Linked DNA regions of Callithrix jacchus. The protein of the gene in region 3 purifies or fractionates together with the protein of the main gene of each other region. This does not show direct contact. Links are inferred from orthologs where the notes say so. Each region holds a gene or a part of one and is shown on either strand. Other genes may lie near its edges.

Evidence for each region.
Region 1: the proteins of AP3S1 (region 3) and AP3M1 purify together in Homo sapiens (co-immunoprecipitation; 4 studies listed by BioGRID and IntAct, counting the BioPlex papers as one, with this or other methods). This does not show direct contact. The link is inferred for Callithrix jacchus from reciprocal best matches to the Homo sapiens genes AP3S1 and AP3M1.
Region 2: the proteins of AP3S1 (region 3) and AP3B1 fractionate together in Homo sapiens (co-fractionation; 5 studies listed by BioGRID and IntAct, counting the BioPlex papers as one, with this or other methods). This does not show direct contact. The link is inferred for Callithrix jacchus from reciprocal best matches to the Homo sapiens genes AP3S1 and AP3B1.

What each region holds. Positions count from the first base shown.
Region 1 is NC_133513.1:56,078,743-56,085,062, reverse strand, and holds part of AP3M1 (AP-3 complex subunit mu-1), read right to left. Parts: intron 5,304-6,320; coding exon 5,218-5,303; intron 4,399-5,217; coding exon 4,265-4,398; intron 2,045-4,264; coding exon 1,837-2,044; exon of another isoform or gene 1,815-1,836; intron 245-1,814; coding exon 100-244; intron 1-99. UniProt on the Homo sapiens protein: Part of the AP-3 complex, an adaptor-related complex which is not clathrin-associated. The complex is associated with the Golgi region as well as more peripheral structures.
Region 2 is NC_133503.1:132,938,217-132,944,536, reverse strand, and holds part of AP3B1 (AP-3 complex subunit beta-1), read right to left. Parts: intron 5,655-6,320; coding exon 5,483-5,654; intron 2,215-5,482; coding exon 2,067-2,214; intron 706-2,066; exon of another isoform or gene 570-705; intron 1-569. UniProt on the Homo sapiens protein: Subunit of non-clathrin- and clathrin-associated adaptor protein complex 3 (AP-3) that plays a role in protein sorting in the late-Golgi/trans-Golgi network (TGN) and/or endosomes.
Region 3 is NC_133503.1:93,917,168-93,923,132, reverse strand, and holds the end of AP3S1 (AP-3 complex subunit sigma-1), read left to right. Parts: intron 1-2,333; coding exon 2,334-2,381; intron 2,382-3,603; coding exon 3,604-3,732; 3' UTR 3,733-4,322; downstream 4,323-5,965. UniProt on the Homo sapiens protein: Part of the AP-3 complex, an adaptor-related complex which is not clathrin-associated. The complex is associated with the Golgi region as well as more peripheral structures.

The DNA.
Region 1 (6,320 bases), on a different chromosome or scaffold from region 3:
CTCTTTCTAGAGTGGGAAATTTTGTTACCCTTTTAAGTGCCTAATAATTGAGCTTGTAAAACTCAATTACCCTTAACTACAAGTGAGCCTTACTCTTACCTGAAATAGCAAGCTGCTGGATCTTAAACTGTATGTTGAGGCTCGGATTCTCTTCTGGTTTGGGGGCTCCAGACTGTAAATTTACCAGTCCTTTAAGACTTGGGAGCTTCTGTGGAGTAATTTTTCCCACATCCCATGTTAGTACCTTGGAAAGACAAAAAAAATGATGAACGAATGGAACTATCTATTAAAGACAAACCCTCAAAAAGAAGGTTTAAAGACACCATAAACTTCTGTACAAAATGAAGTGCAGTCTATTGAAAACAAGGTATCTGGGATCTACAATGAGTTTACTTCTGATTAGCTCTGTGACTTTGAATGGGAAGTGAGAGCAGAGAATCCACATTTGTTGAGCATTTTCTTTTGTATTAGCACTGTGCTTAGCACTATTCATATGTTGTCTCATTGAGGGCTGTGAAGTAGCTTTTGTCTTCTATTTACAAATGAGGAAATTAAGGGTCAGAGATCAAATGACTTGCTCAAAGCCACAGAGCTAGTCAGAGGAAAGGCTGGGATTTGCACCTAAGACCCTCTGATTTCAAATGTTCTCCATCATACCATCTTTACTACTTTTCTCTGGGCCTGTTAATTTTTCTGTAAAATCATTAGATTGACTTGAGATGGTGTTTTAAAAACTTTAGCTGTGCAACCCATTGTTCAAATGAAATCTTTAGTGTGGAGGCTCAACAGCAAATGAGAAAAAAGCAAAGCTGTCATAGTTGAAGCTGCGGTAAAGGGCCAGGAAACTGAAACTTTCCTTCTCAGCCCTGTGTGGTGTCCAGGAGGAGGTCCTTTGAATCCTTGCAACCACATTAAATAATCTTTAACATTCTATGACATTATTCAAAAAATGTGTCTTTTCATTTATCAGGCACCGCAATGACTCTGGTATTGAAAACAATCATATTTACTACCTAAGCAGGAAGCTGGGAGAAAATAATCTGCTACAGTTTCTCTAAAAACCCTCTGCTATAGGAAAATGTAAGTAAGGTGAGCATCTTTCCTAGCCCCAAGAAAGAGTATGAAGTGATGCTTTTAAATTAAAAAGAAAAAGGTCTTAATGATCAATTTACATAGAAAACTTAATAATTCATAGACCATAATTCTTTTATCTACATAATGTTTTCTCTTTTTAAAAAAGCTTTTACTGGCTGGGTGAGGTGGCTCACGCATGTAATCCCATTACTTTGGGAGGCCGAGGTGGGCAGTCAGGAGGTCGAGACCAGGCTGACCAACATGGTGAAACCCTGTCTCTACTAAAAATACAAAAAAATTAGCTGGGCGTGGTGGTGCTTGCCTGTAATCCCAGCTACTCAAGAGGCTTTGTGGTAGGAGAATCACTTGAACGTGGGAAGCGGAAGTTGCAGTGAGCTAAGATCACGCTATTGCACTCCAGCCTGGGCAATAAGAGCAAGACTCTTGTCTCAAAAAAAAAAAACAAAACAAAAAAAACTTTTACTTCTTTCTTATTAGATAGCAGAATGAGGCTCTGGATTAATAATGGATGAGTGAAGACACACTCTGAAAAAGGACAGAACAACTCGCTTTTCTGTTCATCTACTTGGTGCAGGATTCCCTTTGTAGCCAGTGGCAGAAGCACAGTACAGTATGCTCTCCAGGTTTTGATACAAACTTTAGTTTTAAACAAGGTGCTAAACCTTTCCCCCCACCCCTCCCCCCAAATCACAAAATAGATTGCAGAAACACTTGCTCACTCTTGATTTGAAGTGGCTGTACCTTGGTGACTGGATCAAATGTATAGCTGCCTTGTGTGGGTGTCAGGTTCATGTTCAGCACAACTTTTGGCATGTGAACTGTCACTGTAATTCCTTCAATAGTTTTCCCCATATTCTGCTTTGGTCCAATTGTTATATCAAATCTGCCACAAGAACTGTTCTCCTTAAAGCTGATACTATGTTTCACATACACTGGTATTGCCACTAGACTAAAAAGAGAAACAGAGAAAGACACAAAAGCACAAATACAATTAATGGTGTGGGGACAGCTCCAGAGGTATCCTGAAAACCTCTGTACAGAGTATCCTATCCTCCCTTTAACTCCACAGTAAGGCTCTTCAGAGTTGGCTCTCTGAAGCCACAGTTCTGCATCCTTGAATTTGACCAGCTAAGAACTGAAAATATCACTTTAAAAAATCAGCCAGGCATGGTGACTCACACCCGTAATCCCAGCACTTTGGGAGGCCAAGACGGCAGGAATAACCTGAGGTCAGGAGTTTGAAAGTAGCCTGGCCAACATGGTGAAACCTTATCTCTACAAAAATACAAATATTACCCGGGGCCAGGTGTGGTGCCCCTGCAATCTCAGTACTTTGGAAGGCCTAGGTGAGTGGATCACCTGAGGTCAGGAGTTTGAGACCAGCCTGGCTAACATGGTGAAACCCCGTCTCTACTAAAAATACAAAAATTAGCTGGGCAGGGTGGCACGTGCCTATAGTTCCAGCTAATTGGGAGGCTGAGGCAGGAGAATCACTTGAACCTAGGAGGCGGAGGTTGCAGTGAGCTGTGATCAAGCCATTGCACTCCAGCCTCAGCAACAAGAGCAAAACTCCATCTCAAAAAAAAAAAAAAAAAATTAGCCGGGAGTGGTTGTGAGTGCCTGTAATCGCAGATACTTGGGAGGCTGAGGCAGGAGAACTGCTTGAACCCAGGAGGTGGAGGGTGCTGTGAGCTGACTGAGCCACTGCATTCCAGCCTGAGCGACAATAGTGAAACTGCATCTCAAAAAAAGCCCCCCAAAACAAGAAACAATTGGGGCAAATGGTCCTAGTTTAAAAAATGAATTACAATTCAATGGAAAAATAGTGTAAAATACATATATATGTGTGTGTGTGTATTTTTTTTTGAGACAAAGTCTCACCCTGTCACCCAGGCTGGAGTACAATGGCGTGATCTTGGCTCACTGCAAGCTCTGCCTTCTGGGTTGAAGCAATTCTCCTGAGTCAGCCTCCAGAGTAGTGGGGATTACAGGCACCTGCCACCACGCCCAGCTAATTTTTGTATTTTTAGTAGAGATGGGGTTTCACCATGTTGGCCAGGCTGATTTCAAACTCCTGACCCCAGGTGATCTGCCCACCTCGGCCTCCGAAAGTGATGGGATTACAGGTGTGAGCCATTCACTGTGCCTGGCCTAAAATATGTTTTATATAATTGAAACAGTTCCTATGTCATAAGAGCTAAGAAATGATTTCTCTGCTTTTGAATCTTGTCATGATGTAAATCAAATAATTTCTGGTATTTTCAAGAAACAAACTAGCTATAACTATGACCCTCAATGCTAAGTGGTTTTTCTTTTTGAGATGGAGTTTCACCCTGTTGGTCAGGCTGGAATGCAGTGGCATGATATGTCACTGCAACCTCTGCCTCCCAGGTTCAAGTGATTCTCATGTCTCAGCCTCCCAAGTTGTTGAGATTGTAGGCATATGCTACCACTCCTTACTAATTTTATATTTTTAGTAGAGACGGGGTTTCACCATGTTGACCAGACTGGTCTAGAACTCCTGACCTCAAGTGATCTGCCCACCTTGGCCTTCCAAAGTGTTGGGATTACAGGAGTAAACCACAGCTCCCAGCCCCCAATGCTAAACAGTTCCTTTAAAACTCAATGCAGAGAAGAGTGACTTGAGGCAGTAAGTTGGGGAATGTCCTTATGAGCTACAGGTAGGTCTGTCTCCTTCTGTTAGCTACAAAGTCTACAGACCATGGTAAGATTACGGCAATGGTTCATGGTTTTGCCCAGGTTATGCATGGTCCATTTTGCTTTACTTGCAAAGTACTCAGCTGTCACAAACAGGGAGCAAAATGGACCACGCATAACCTGAGCAAAGAACCAGTGCCATAATTTGACCGCCCATAACCTTGCAAAGAACTGGTACCATAACCTTTTCCCCAGGTTATATACAGTCTGCTTGCTCTTAGCTATAGGTTTTACTCTAGTCTCACTTAGTACCACTCTAAACTCATACATTCAAAGTATACTGATTATTTTAGGTGTGTATTTTTGCCAGTTCTCACTGGGTTTCCTGGTGAGCCATGGTTAAAGTGAGCAGTGATGACCTCAAGGATTCAACTGTCAGAAAGAAACAGGGACAGGTGAGTTCTGCTTGATATGTATGATGGCAGATTCCGGCTGATGCATCTGAACATACTTTTGTGAGCTGACACGGTATGATATGAGTCTGAAATTTCCATCTGGAGGAATAAATGACAAAACTCTTTCAGATTCCCAACGCTTGAACCGGATGCAGGGGTGGAAGCTGACATCATCCAGAAGCCTAGGGTTCTGCCAGCAAAACAGAAGACAGTCGTGTTCATATAGTATAATAAATATGTTAACTCTACTCAGATATCTTGACAAATTAATATATTTCCTGAAAATAAAGCAGTCATGGAAGAGTTTATGACCACATCAACATAACTTTACAGTGTCACAATGCTTTAAAGTTTATAAATATTTTATGTAAATTAATTTATTTGAATTTCAATAGCCATAAAGAAGAAAAGGCAAGTAGTATTATTTCCCTTTAACAGATTAAAAAAAACTGAGGTCCAGCCGGGCACGGTGGCTCACGCCTGTAATCCCAGCACTTTGGGAGGCTGAGGCGGGCGGATCACCCGAGGTCAGGAGTTCAAGACCAGCCTGACCTACATGGAGAAACCCTGTCTCTATAAAAAACAAACAAACAAACAAAACCGAGGTTCAGAGGACTTAAGGTCAGGACAAACTGGTGACAATACCAGAAGTCAGTTCTCTTAATTGTTCCTAGCAGTATGTTATGCGGACTCTACAATGATACAAAAGACCAATGCCCTTTCATATCAGCAAAGCAAGTAATTATTCAGTAAAAATGATGTTGGTGTTTTGCAGAAGCCAGCCAATTTTAAGCGCTTCCTAGCACACTCAGGCAAAGACTTCCCTTAGCCTTTCCATAAAGACCAGGCTCATCGTGTACGCGATTGTCTTAGGAAACTCTGCTAGAAATATTTTTCAGATAATCCTTTGCAATCTAAGATGCAAACTTATCTCAATTTTATCATTTCATTTAGTACTTCACATGTATTAGGCATGCAAGGGGCTATAAAACAGGAGAATAAAACTTACCATGAAAGAAAGGGAGAGATCAGGCATTCCAGATAGTTTAATGCAAGCATCAATGACCCCCTGAATTTCTGCAAAGACTGTAGATCCTGAAGAAAAAAAAAGGGAGACAACATCAATAGAATCTCAGTCTTAACTAGAGCTTTCACTGTATCTTTTTATTTTTATTTATTTATTGTTTTTAGAGACAGAGTCTTGCTCTGTTGCCAAGGTGGGAGTGCAGTTGCATGATCATAGCTCACTGCAGCCTCAAACTCCTGGGCTCAAGTAATCCTCCTGTGCTAGCCTCCCGAACAGCTGGGAATATAGGTGTGCCACCACACCTAGCCCACACAAACACTGTATCTAGAATAATGGAGATACCCCCTGAGTATCAGACATACTGAAGCTTTATATCTATCTCTATTAAAACAGGTCAGGGAACAAGGTCCATACCTAACTCTAGTTGGAATACGGTAATTCATTCATTCATTTTTCTTTTTTAAGAGTTGAGATCTCACTAGCTAGTCCCAGCTGGCCCCCAGAATAACTGGGACTACAGGTGTGCCAGCGTAGAATCTAAATTTTTTTTTGAGGCAGGGTCTTGCTCTGTCACCCAGGGCTGGAGTGCAGTACTGCTATCATGGCTCACTGCAGCCTCAACCTCCTGGGTTCAAGCAATCCTCCCACCTCAGCCTCCCAAGCAGCTGGAACTACAAGTACACACCTCCATGCCCCAGCTTATTTTTGTATTTTTTTAATAGAGATGGGGTCTTGCTATGTTGCTCAGGCTGGTCTCAAACTCCTGGGCTCAAGCAAACCATCTACTTCAGCATCCCAAAGTGCTGGGATTACCAGCATGGCCTTTCGTGCCCAGCCAGAATATGCTAATTCTAAGGAAAATTCAACTGTCTCCTTTATGGAGCCAACCCTGTAAGATGACGGGATTTCAGTTTAAAACACATTTGGTCAGGCACAGTGGCTCATGCCTGTAATCCTAGCACTTAGGGAAGCCAAAGTGGGTGGACTGCCTGAGCTCAGGAGTTTCGGACCAGCCTGGGCAACATGGTGAAACCCTGTCTCTACTAAAAATACAAAAAATTAGCCAGGTGTGGTGGCATGTGCCT
Region 2 (6,320 bases), about 39 Mb from region 3:
AAGATAAATAATATAGATTTAGTTAGGCTGCAGATATAAGGCATATGAATTTTCAGCACTAACATATTGCCATGCTAAATTAAAGTAAAGTACCCACCATCTGCCTTCATTACTCATAATTTAGAGCAGAAGCCACAACACTTGGTGCAAGGAGGACATTTCCACAGTTATAGTTGCATATTATTAGAAAATTGGTATACTCTGTAACTGCATGGTATACGCCAAATCATTCAAAAAGAAATAGAAATAAATAAGTAGTTATGGTAGCTCCAAGGTGGAGTATACTTATTCTAATTGCTAAACTAAAGCAAAAAACTCCACAGTCCTGTATGCCTTTATAGACAGGAAAAGGCATTCTAATATAAAGAAAATAAGCCACCTAAGGGACACATGAACACAAAACTATCAACAATGTACATGAAACCCAAATTTCTCAAAGGTCTTGGCTCATTGCAATAGTTTGAATTTTTTATACTGATGTTCTATAGGAAAATATTTTTAAATTATCAAGAGATTTAATCCGATCACTGAAAGTCTTTGACAAAGAAGAAACAAAAAGAATCACTGACCTGGAGTGCCACTGTGGCTTTTCTTTTCTTTTCTTTTTTTTTTTTTCCTCGGGGCGGGGCGGGGGGGCGAAGGGATACAATACAACATGATGTTCAACCACTGTGGCTTTTTAATGAGATCCTAAAGCTCTGCTTCTAATACTATAGAGGCACTGAAGTCTGTAATTTTTCAACTGTTTCAAAACTTCCCAAGAATAACTTCCACATCTTGACACTCAATGATTTTTTGTTCTGTCATTTTAAAAAACACTTCTTACTCTGGGTTGTATTTACTGTTGATTTGTAACTCTCTTTATTTTCAATAACATTTTAAACTTTCTGGTAATTTGATGTAAGTATGAAATGCAAGTACACCAAACTCACTATGTGATAAGTTTTTATATGAGGCCAGATTAATAAACCACAAAATCTCTTAAGATTTTATGTAAATTTTTTAAAAATAAAAATCTTAGGTTATTTGATATACAGATGCAAGTTTTAAATATAAATTCAAGTTTAAGATAGGTTTTAATATATGCAAGAAAATATGTGAAATAAGGCAAGACAAATACTAGCCAATTTTTAAAACATTCTTTAACAATAAATCTCTGGAAGGGGGAGGGCAATTGTTTACTTCAATAAATTAATTTTCATACTTGCTACTCAGATAACATACCAAAAAAATACAAGTTAATAGAACAAATAAACAAAAACAATATTGGATTAAGAAGAAATTAAACTGAATGAAAGGCAGGGTTTGAACATATTTTCAACAAACAGAATAACACAGTTATATATAAAACTACTAACCTTGAAATCTAGCATCAACAAGGTCCATTTTTAGGAAGGGGGTGATTATTAAAGACCAAAAAGATACTTATCATTAGGTCTGAATTCTATACTACTATTTCATTCTTTTAACTAGATGTGAAATCAGATAGGATAAATTTTATATTAATAAGTATAGTCTTGCAATATATATACTTTAATTTTTTTCCTGCTAAGCAGGCCAAGTTCAGTGTTACAAATGTTATCAAAAAGCACTATTATTTTATTATATAAGTAGTTCTTACATTTGTTTTTAAATAAATGGTTACTTCCAATTCTTACTATATAAAGAATGTATATACTTTAATTAAAGCTTTAAAACACAATTATGCAAAATGCCCAATATTTTAAAAGGCTTAATAGTCTCAATTTCTAATGATGTATGTACACTTACATTTCTTTGCTCAATACTATTTTTGTGACTTCCTTTCACTTCCCTTTCAGCAAAAACCCCCCTTGTCACAACCTAGCCAAGAACAAAAAAGCCCATATGCATAACATTGAGTTCCCTGATTTCAGTGGCTAAGGGTGAGTTTTTTTAAAGTTCCTAACTTTTCTGCAGAGTTGGGTTATAAGGGAGAGGCTTATCTAGAAAAAACAAAATCACAGGTGTAGATGACAATGGTGTTGTTTATTTTAGTTGCTATAAGAATATTTACTTTCAATGATAACAAATGTATAATCTCTTACCTTAGTGACTCTTCTGGATTCAGATTCACTTTCAGATTCTGACTCTGATTCAGAATCTGAAGAACTGTCTTCTATTGAACTAGATTCGGCACTGGAAGAATCTGAAGTTTTAGATTTTTCATTTTCCTTCTCCCCATCTTCAGCATCACTATATATAATAGTAAATTTTGAAATGTGAACTTTCTTTATATAAGTAGTTTATATAAAAGGTGGTTAAATTCTAGAATATATTAATAAGGTAATAATAAAGGTATTACTAGTAACCAAATTAATCAGAACCCATTCAAATTCAATTCTATCCTGTCATACACAAAATGACACTAAATAGTATCATCAAAAACAATGTAGAAAATATTAAATGTTTCATTTACCAAGAATTAAGTGCCAGTAGTAATAACTTCAAAGATATTTAGGCTGATTTTTTTTAAATGCTATCTCAAAATATTAGGTATGTATACATATCTACATACAGGGTCTCATTGTCACCTAGGCTGGAGTACACTGGTACGATCATGGCTCACTGCAGCCTCTACCTCCTGGGCTCAAGCAATTCTCCCACTTCAGCCTCCCAAGCAGTGGGGACTACAGGCATGTGCCACCACACTTAATTATATATTTTTTGTAGAGACACGGTCTCACTATGTTGCCTAGGCTGCTCTGGAACTCCTGGGCTCAAGTCATCCTCCCACCTCAGTCTCCCAAAATGTTGGGGTTTCAGGATTGATCCATCACACCTGGCTTAGTAATATATTTAATATTTATATATCTGCTTTTGCTAAAACGGACTTGTATTTTATACATTTTTCTGTCAAGGAAAATTACTGCACAAGTTCCCAAATGTGACCTTAAACATATGAGAAAATGTTAACCAGTTCAAAGCAAATTCTTCTAATGTACTGTCTTGCTAAAAATTTAAGCTAATCAAATATCAACTTTAAAAATACCAAATGATCATACCTAAGTGCTTAACACCATTCATTTGTTCACCTGCTCAACAAGTATTTATTAATTATTGACTACATGTTGGTATTATGTTAGGTGCTGAGGGTAGTAAGTCACAGAGGATCTCTGTGTGTCTACCCTATAGTCTTCAGTCCACTGGAGAATACAGATAAGGTGGCAGAGATAATATAGTATGATAAGTAATAAGTAATAAATTACAGTGTGTCAGAACAGTATTTGTAGAGACAACTAAAAAAACTTAATCCACTTAGGAATGCTTCCTTGAGAATGAGACATATAAGCCAAGATACAGGAATAAGGCCAGCAGATGGGCCAGGAAGCAGTTCTCCAAGGAGAAGGAATAACATGCGAGATGGCCATTAACACCCTTTTCTCAGGGGATGAGAGCTGCTTTGTGGTGTTTATATTTTCCTGGAAACTAAAGGTCTAGTTCTCTCTACCACATGTGTGTGTATTTTTTTAAGAATCTATTGTGGACCGGAAAGGGCTAGGTATTTCATACCAATCATACCGATTATCTAATTTAAATGCACTCTTCCTGGGTACATTATTATTCCATTTACAATAATGAAATTAATATTTAGAAAGGTTAAATAACCTGCTCAAAGACATATAACAGGAGGGGCAGAACTGGAACTCAAGTCTATCTCACACCAAAGTCTGTATTTTTTCCACTATGTCATACTATCTCCCTTCAAATGAAAATACCGTGGAGTGTAAAATTTAAATTTGGTAATAAATATTTATGATTACTAAATGGTGGTTTTTGAAGATGCTTAAAGCTTATTAAGAGCTTTAAAAAATTACCATGCTGACAAAGTTAAAAATAAATTCTAAGAGACAGGGAGAAAAATACAGGGAGAGGAAGAGTAGTGAGGCAAAGGAAGGATTGATATTTCCTAGAACTGATTTTTGTAGAGGAAATATGATTGCTGTTTATTAAAAATGGAACCATGGTAACATCTCAGAGCACATGTAATTATATTTGAAGACTGAAAAATATGTTGTTGTTTTTTCCTTGGCAAAAAACGGCAATTTATTATCCTCAATTCACTGGTTAAAATGTGTACTTAAAAATATAAGGTTCAGAATGTATTTGTAATTCTACTTGGTGAAGTAAACAATTCTTTTAATTCAAACATGGGTAAAGAGAAAAATCCATTTCTGAAGAAAAAAACTAATAAAACTAATGCATGACTACAAATTTCTAGCACACTGACTTTTGCTATCTGAAAAGACATTTCATGCACTGAACAAAACTTTCCCTTTCTAGAAACAAGACATGTTTTATAACTCATATCATCATAGATACTCTGATATTAAACCAGAAATACGGAATTTCTCTCAAAGACAAGGCTATTATAAAGCAAGTGGCTCCTTTGCTGCAACAAGTGAATGATTCTAAATATATTTAACTTCTGGCTTTTAAGATAAGATTTTAAAAGTAAAAGTGTTATTTTATTATGCATCACTCAATTTTGATGGTAATTATTGTTTACCTTACTGCTTAGAGTTTCAGATGTTAATCTAATGAAAAGAATTTACTGGTAACTAGGTTTTTAACTTTGCAATGATGAAAAGCCTGTATTAATTTAACCTACAGATTTCATTTGTTCTGAACAGGAAAAACAATATAAATCACTTTTAAAATCATTAAATCCTGACTTAAATTAATAAAGTCATAATTAGGGCATTATGCTGTGTTTGTTATGGAAGTGGCAGGGCGAGCTGCTTTAATTACTGTCTGTAATAAAAGGAGCAGAGAGCGTACTGCGCCCCAATCAGTGCTGTCAGCCACGACTGAGCCGAGCTGCAAGCTCATCAAGTGAGCGGGCAGTAGGCTCTCGCGGAAAGGACCATCATGTTGGCAGAGGCCACTCGCTGACAGCAGTGGGGAAAACAGAGTTGCACAATCCAAGATATTAGCCCCAATTACTCAAAATTTTAATGACATTTTAATACATGATAATGTTGTTGATAATGGGAGATCTTAAAAAGTGCTAACACTTAAATATCCTATGACCGTCTTCCTTCACAGCCCTTGACTCTAATATTTGAGTCATAATCTTTTTAATATAACATTATTTAGAAAAATCAATTGTCTTGGTTACATAATGGCAAAGTGTTGAAGGATTTAATTTTAGCCCTCAGCAAAATTGCTACAAAAGGTAATTAAGTGTTTCATACCTATTGCTTGATCACTTAACTCAGCCTTCCAAGGTTATACCAATTTTCAAAATGTAACCCCAAGATATGTTCAAGTTCAATATGAAAGCTAAGCATAAGTAGGAAAATAATGTGAACAACTAGCACTTTAATTCTAAAAGATTTAATATCTGTTTGGGAAAAAATACACACTTTTTTCCTCACTATTTTTGGACTAACAAGAACTATCTTGCTGGGGCACAATTTCAGAGTATTTCTTTGAAGGAAATTCTGACAAAATAAGTTACCTTTTTCCTTTGGTTTTTGAGTTCTTCTTGGCTGTTCTTTTGTTTTCTCGGCCTGAGTCCCTTCCACTTTCATTGCCCTGCTCACTGGAGGAGTCCTCACTGCTATCCTCACTGCTGTCTCCTTCCTCCCCACTTTGGCCTTGTTCTCCACTTTCACTTCCAGATTCACTCTCTGAAAAACAGAACCAGATGTTCTCAGATTTATAATCATTTAATTAAACACACGGACACCTGTAACTGTCAATATTCATCACAAGTAAAACCAGATGTTGAATTTTAGTTCAGTGGACATCACTTGTTCAATACTTTATTCCCACACCCCATTCTTTCAGCTCTACGTATTCCTTTAGCACAGTGAGCTTCGGGGGATGCAGACAGAGAGAGGATGCTCTGACAGAGTAGAGAAAAGCTAAGCAAAGGTGAACCAAATAAAACAAACTTGAGGGAATCCCACTTTTTAAACCCCAACATATCTAGTTATGTCAAAAAGTTTCTTTTAAAGAATTACTAAGGATTGATATAAGGCTAAAGAAATAACTTTGAATTCTTCTGCTTATAATGGGAAATTCTATTTAGATTAAAAGAAGGCAACAGTTGAATCTTAGGAACAAATTTTGAGAGGAAAATGAGCCATTCGAATCACCTGGAAAAACCTCCTAATTCAAAAGACAGTCAGCAAAATGACTAAAGAGTTACTACTTATTTGAACTAGTAAAGGAGTTTTCTACAGGTGAAAGAGATGATAAAGTTATATTGAGGAATTATACTTTTAAATGTTTTATGTATAGATTATGGTATAATATGACTCTTTGAAGAAGAAAATACATAAAAATATATG
Region 3 (5,965 bases):
TAATCTTAAATCTTTAAGAACTATGTTGTTCTGTCAGAGATATCTTATTTTTACATTTAAAAATGTATTTACAGTAATCCCCCTATCTGTGGGGGATACATTCTAAAACCCCCAGTGGATGCCTGAAACTGTAGATACTACTGAACCTTATATATTCTATGTTTTTTCCTATACATATATACATACAATAAAATTTAATTTATAAAATAGGTACAGTAAGAGTTTAACAACTAATAATAATACAGAACAGTTATAACAATATAATGTAATACAAGTTGTGTGAGGCCAGGTATGCTGGCTCACACCTATAATCCCAATACTTTAAGGGGCCAAGGCAGGAGAATCACTTGAGGCCAGGAGTTTGAGCCAGTCTGGGCAACACAGTGAGACCCCATGTCTACAAAAAGATATGTGTATTTTTTACATTAGCTGGGCCTACTGGGACACACTTGTAGTTCTAGCTATTCAGGAGACAGGTGAGAAGATCACTTGAGCCCAGGAGTTCAAGGCTGCAGTTAGCCATGGTCGCATTACTCACTCCAGCCTCAGGGACAGAGTGAGACCCTGTCTCTTAAAGAAAAAAAAAGATTATGTGGATGTAGCCCCTCTCTATCACAATACTGTACTGTACCACCTATTTTCAGACCACATTTAACATTTGACCATGGATAAATGAAACCATGGAAAGCGAAACTGCAGATAAGGGGGACTACTACTGCTAACAAGTCAGGTAGACTTAATTTCTGTAAGTTTTAACATTGAAAAGTTATTTTGTTGCTTTGAGTGTATCTTACTGGAAAAAAGAAGTCTTAACTAAGATGAAAATTGCTTCATACCTCTGTGTCAGCAAACTAATTTTCTAATGAAAATTTACTTTACATTTTATGTTTTAATGAAAAATGTTTCAGACATTGCTTTCATGAAAGTCTGAAAATGAAATTTGTTTTATAGCCATTCTGGTGTTGACTGAGTGACATAAACTCTTTTTTTAGCCCTTAATTTTTATATATAAACATTGCTAGCTAGTTTAAGCATCTACTTATTGTCCTTATCATATTTTCTTCACATTTTATATTTTGCATAATATAATTTCTTTTTAAAATGTTAGTTTAATTAAAACTTAAAGTGCATATTATAATTTTAAATTTTCCTACCATTTAAATTTATGGCATAGTACACAAAAGTATTGAACATGCTTGAGAAATAATTTGATTCTTCGAATTCATTTGCGTGTTCTAAATAGTTCCCATCCTTTGCATGTCTATGGCTTGCTGCTTATGTTTAGAAGAATTGTAGTTTGTTGTACTTAGAAACTTCTTTGGTTTTACCTACTAAGCACAAATATGCTATTTAAATCAATTGCTATATTGATTTTATGTATTCTCGTTAGCAGCCAACAGTCGACACCAAAGATAAAACTCAGTCTAATGAAAGTTAACAGGAAAAGTTGTTTTTTTTTTGCTTTAGTTTAGCTGTTCATGGTACAGGATATTATGGAAAAGAGAGCTTTACTAACATTTAATACTAAAAAATTATGTTTACTAAATATAGGTGTAAACCATAGTATCTAATAAATACACAGATACACACACACACAGTTTCTCTTACAATAATAAAATAATTTAATAATTTATGCTTTTTAAAATATTTATACTCATATTTGGTCAATACTTTTCTATAGTCAATTCATCATTTGTCTTTTTTATAGAAATTTTGAAAGTAAAGATAGTGGCAAATTGGTCTTTTAACTAGAAAAATTACAGAATCCTTCTATCTAAAAAATGATACTGCCTTCAGAACGTCTGCAATTTTGTAAATTTTTCTTCCTTAGCAGATAGCATACTTCCTGGTAAAAGAAAGCCAAAAGATGGTAAACCTCTTTGAAATGGATTCTTCTTTGATCATAACACATCTTAAATTTTGGTAGCTAGACCTTTAACTTGAAATGATCAAATTAAAGACCCTTTTGAATATGATACATGCTACCTTAATTATTATTTAGTTGTGTATCCAACATCTTTTGGAGGAGCAGCAGGGATGGGGGGATAAAAACTTCATTGCCTCAGGTAGGTATTAAGTATAGAGGTCAATCACATTTTTAGTTGTACATCAAGAATGACTAGCATCTATTAAATTATAAAAATTAAATTTTCCAGCCCTATTTAGTATTAATTGGGTAGGTAGTTCTTCATTTGTATCACCCTTATCGTTGCCTGTGTAGAATATACTTACTATTAATACTATTCTACTAATTTTTCTATTATTTCCAATTCTGAATTGATAATCCATGGTTTTTGTTTCATTGCTTAACAATGTTTGTATCCTTTATTTAGCAAATAGTTTACACTGGCCTATTTTGTATCAGTCAAGATTTTTCTCAGGTAACAGCTTTATTATTATTTTTATTTTAATGAACAAAGGTAGGATTACATAAGAAAAGAAAACTAAACTTATGAAAAGGGACCTTAAAGCTAGTGTTTCTAATTTTATGGACATTGCCTTATATATAATCTAATCAAAGTGGAAGATTTATTTTTGTTGCTTGTCTATTTTTATACAAAATGATGCCCCTAAACTCAACGTCTTTGTTGGCTTTGTTTTATTATATAGCCTAAATAAAAATTAATGAAATCTAATTGGTATATAAATTAAACCTTAAATATGAAGGCTGTTAATGTAGGTGAGAAAAATGATATATATGCATTTTTCTTTTATTTTTAAGCATATTTTCTTTTAAAATTATTTCACAAATTATAAATGTTCCTACTAACAAGAAAGCCAAATATTATGTACTAGTGGTACTTACTGGAAATTTTAGAATTCATTTATTTATATTTACTACCTCTTGCATTTATGCTCTTCTTTCTCTAAATTTGTGCACTGTAAGCTGAGTATATGTTGCTGAATCTACGCTGTATGACAAAACATTTTTAATCATATTTTTATTAATGCATCAAAGGGTTGGAATGATCCTCTTTGTGTAGTTTCATCTGTAGGCATAACTATCTTTGGATTGAGGCTTTACTTGAAAGCCTATTTTTTGAATGTTCTAGAACTTTCTTAGAAAAGTTTAAAAGAGCCCTCACAATTTTAAAAACTAATTTTATTGTTTTAAATTGTTTTAAGGGTTTATCCCTAAGTAAAGAAATTAAACAAGCATGATCTATTACTTGCAATTTTTATTTCACAGCACATATTGATAATAAATGCCATTTTAAAGCAAAAGAAAATCTATCATGATCGTTGCAAGAGATCTTTATTAAGGAAACTAATGTAAATCATGCTATATTTCAGTTAAATCAAGATATAGGTAAAGATTTAGGGTTTACCATGTGAATATTGTGTGGTAGTGCACATTAATTTGTATTGAAATCTTTACATTGTTACCATTGCATGTGTTCACTGTATTTTCTAATGTGTCACTGTTTTCTCTTTATAAATAAGTATTTGAAAGTAACCATTCCATACCAATTCAAACTACCATCTGGTCTCTAAGCTTGTTATATGAAAATCTTTTATCATTGTCTTTCATTGTAAGTGTTTTATGATGAGCTACACCTGAGTTGTACATTTTCTTTTTCTTTTATTTGCTTCTGTATACAGGCTGGCTTAGCGGGAGCTCCAGCCCGTGCTGTATCAGCTGTAAAGAATATGAATCTTCCTGAGATCCCAAGAAATATTAACATTGGTGACATCAGTATAAAAGTGCCAAACCTACCCTCTTTTAAATAAAAATTTTTAAAGGCTACTCCCAGGTAAAATCCAGGGGGGAAAGTCGTCTAAGTTTACCATGCAGTTGTTTACCAAAAATAGAGGAGGAGAATCTTAACTTTTGCTCTTGGATTTAAGTCAAGATACTGTACAGAAGTTGTGTAAAATCAGTATGAAAGTTCAATGTTGCTTTTCTTGCTCAGTGATTTTAAGGAAATTGAGTAGTTCCTATGTGATTTTTTTTTTCTTTTCTAAACTGCATTCCTGTGTCCACCTACGGCATGCCTCTATGTATCGGCTACTACAGTGTTTTAAAAAGTGTTTCAGATATTTCTTTAATTATGTACAACCTAAAACGTTGGTGTTTTGTATGGATCACAAGTGCAGCATTCCTTAATTCCTTCTGCTATTTGTCACACAATTGTTATTTAAAGAACCAAGTGTGTATTGCATGAAAACATTATGACTTTTTTCTCTTAGTTTAAATAAACTCCAAGGTAACTGGACTTCTAAAGCACCCTTCTGTTTGCCTGATATCTACTTTAGCAATAATTTTTTTTACAACCCTCTGACTCCACAAAGTAAATAAAAGTATATTTTATCACTGTTAAGCAGCTGTTAATGTCGATTTATTTTATACTCATGTTTTTAATATTCAGAAACTCAGCAAATTATTCTAAAACTCAGTTATTTCACAAATGAAGAGCAGTCTATCTCATAGCATATTGTGCAAGGTGAGATCTGGAGTAGGAGGTAACAATCTTTCTAAAATGTATATTGAGTCCAGGCGTGGTGGCTCACACCTATAATCCCCGCACTTTGGGAGGACAAGGCGGGCGGATCACCTGAGGTCGGGAGTTTGAGACCAGCCTGACCAACATGGAGAAACCTCGTCTCTACTAAAAATACAAAATTTACAACGTTGGCCAGGCGTGGTAGTGCATGCCTATATTCCCAGCTACTCAGGAGGCTGAGGCAGGAGATTCGTTTGAACCCAGGAGGCAGAGGTCGCAGTCAGCTGAGATCATGCCATTGTGCTCCAGCCTGGGCAACAAGAGTAAAACTCCATCTCAAAAAAAAAAAAAAAATGTATATTGAGAAAATGTAAAATCTTTTTTTTTTTTTTGAGACAGAGTCTCGCTCTGTTACCAGCACCAGGCTGGAGTGCAGTGGTGCAGTCGCTGCTCACTGCAACCTCTGCCTCCCAGGTTCAACCAATTCTCCTGCCTCAGCCTCCCATGTAGCTGGGACTACAGGTGCGCACCACCATGCCCAGTTAATTTTTGTATTTTTAGTAGAGACAGGGTTTCACCATGTTGGCCAGGATGGTCTCGATCTCTCGACCTCGTGATCTGCCCGCCTCGGCCTCCCAAAGTGCTAGGATTATAGGCGTTAGCCACGGCGCCCGGCTGTAAAATCTTTTTTATACAAATGGCTTTAAGCCTTGCCTCCTGTTCTTTCTTGCCCATATGATGAAAAACAATTTCAGCAAATACCTAATTGATTTTGAATAGAAAAACCCTTGGGGCTCAACTTTTCTGTTTTATCCTCAAGCAAAGTTAAACTAATATTTTCTCAAGTCCTAACACTCACATATTCTGGTTTCTCATAATTGGCCCATATTTTATTTGGCCTTCCAGTGAGTAAGGTTACTTTTTCAGGTAGACTAAGGTTTTCCTTACATTTCTAGTTCTCCTTCCTCAAATGTTCTCTTTGAATCACTTCCATAGATTTGCAGCATGTATGAATTTTACCTCAAGAACCCTGAGATATAAGAAAAGTTATTTTATTTTTTTCTAAATAAAATTAATCTGTCTCCAAGCTCCGCATTGTGTTAAGATAACAGGAAATTTAATCTGTGATTATTGGGATTTCTATCAGCTCAAGGATATGCAAACGTCCTAAAGAAAGGTTATGCAAAGTATAGCATTTCAGGAGGTCCTAGGTCTTAATCATTTGACAAATGTTTATTAAGTGCCTACTGTGCCCCCCAATTAGTCCCTGTCTTCATGGAATGATATAAGTAAGAGTGCCTAGTAGTGCTCCCCTACCAGTCCACCCTTTTTCTTTTCGCTTTGTTTTTGCGAAACAAATTATGGGAAGGTTAAGTGGTTAGTATATGCCAAAATGAGGGAAACCTCTGGGCCAGACACCGTATTTTATCTTCAAGAAACAGTCAAAAGTGTTTTATCTCTCATTATATTCTTTCACATACAATGCCCAAACAACCTACCATCCTTCCTCCCCTTCCATT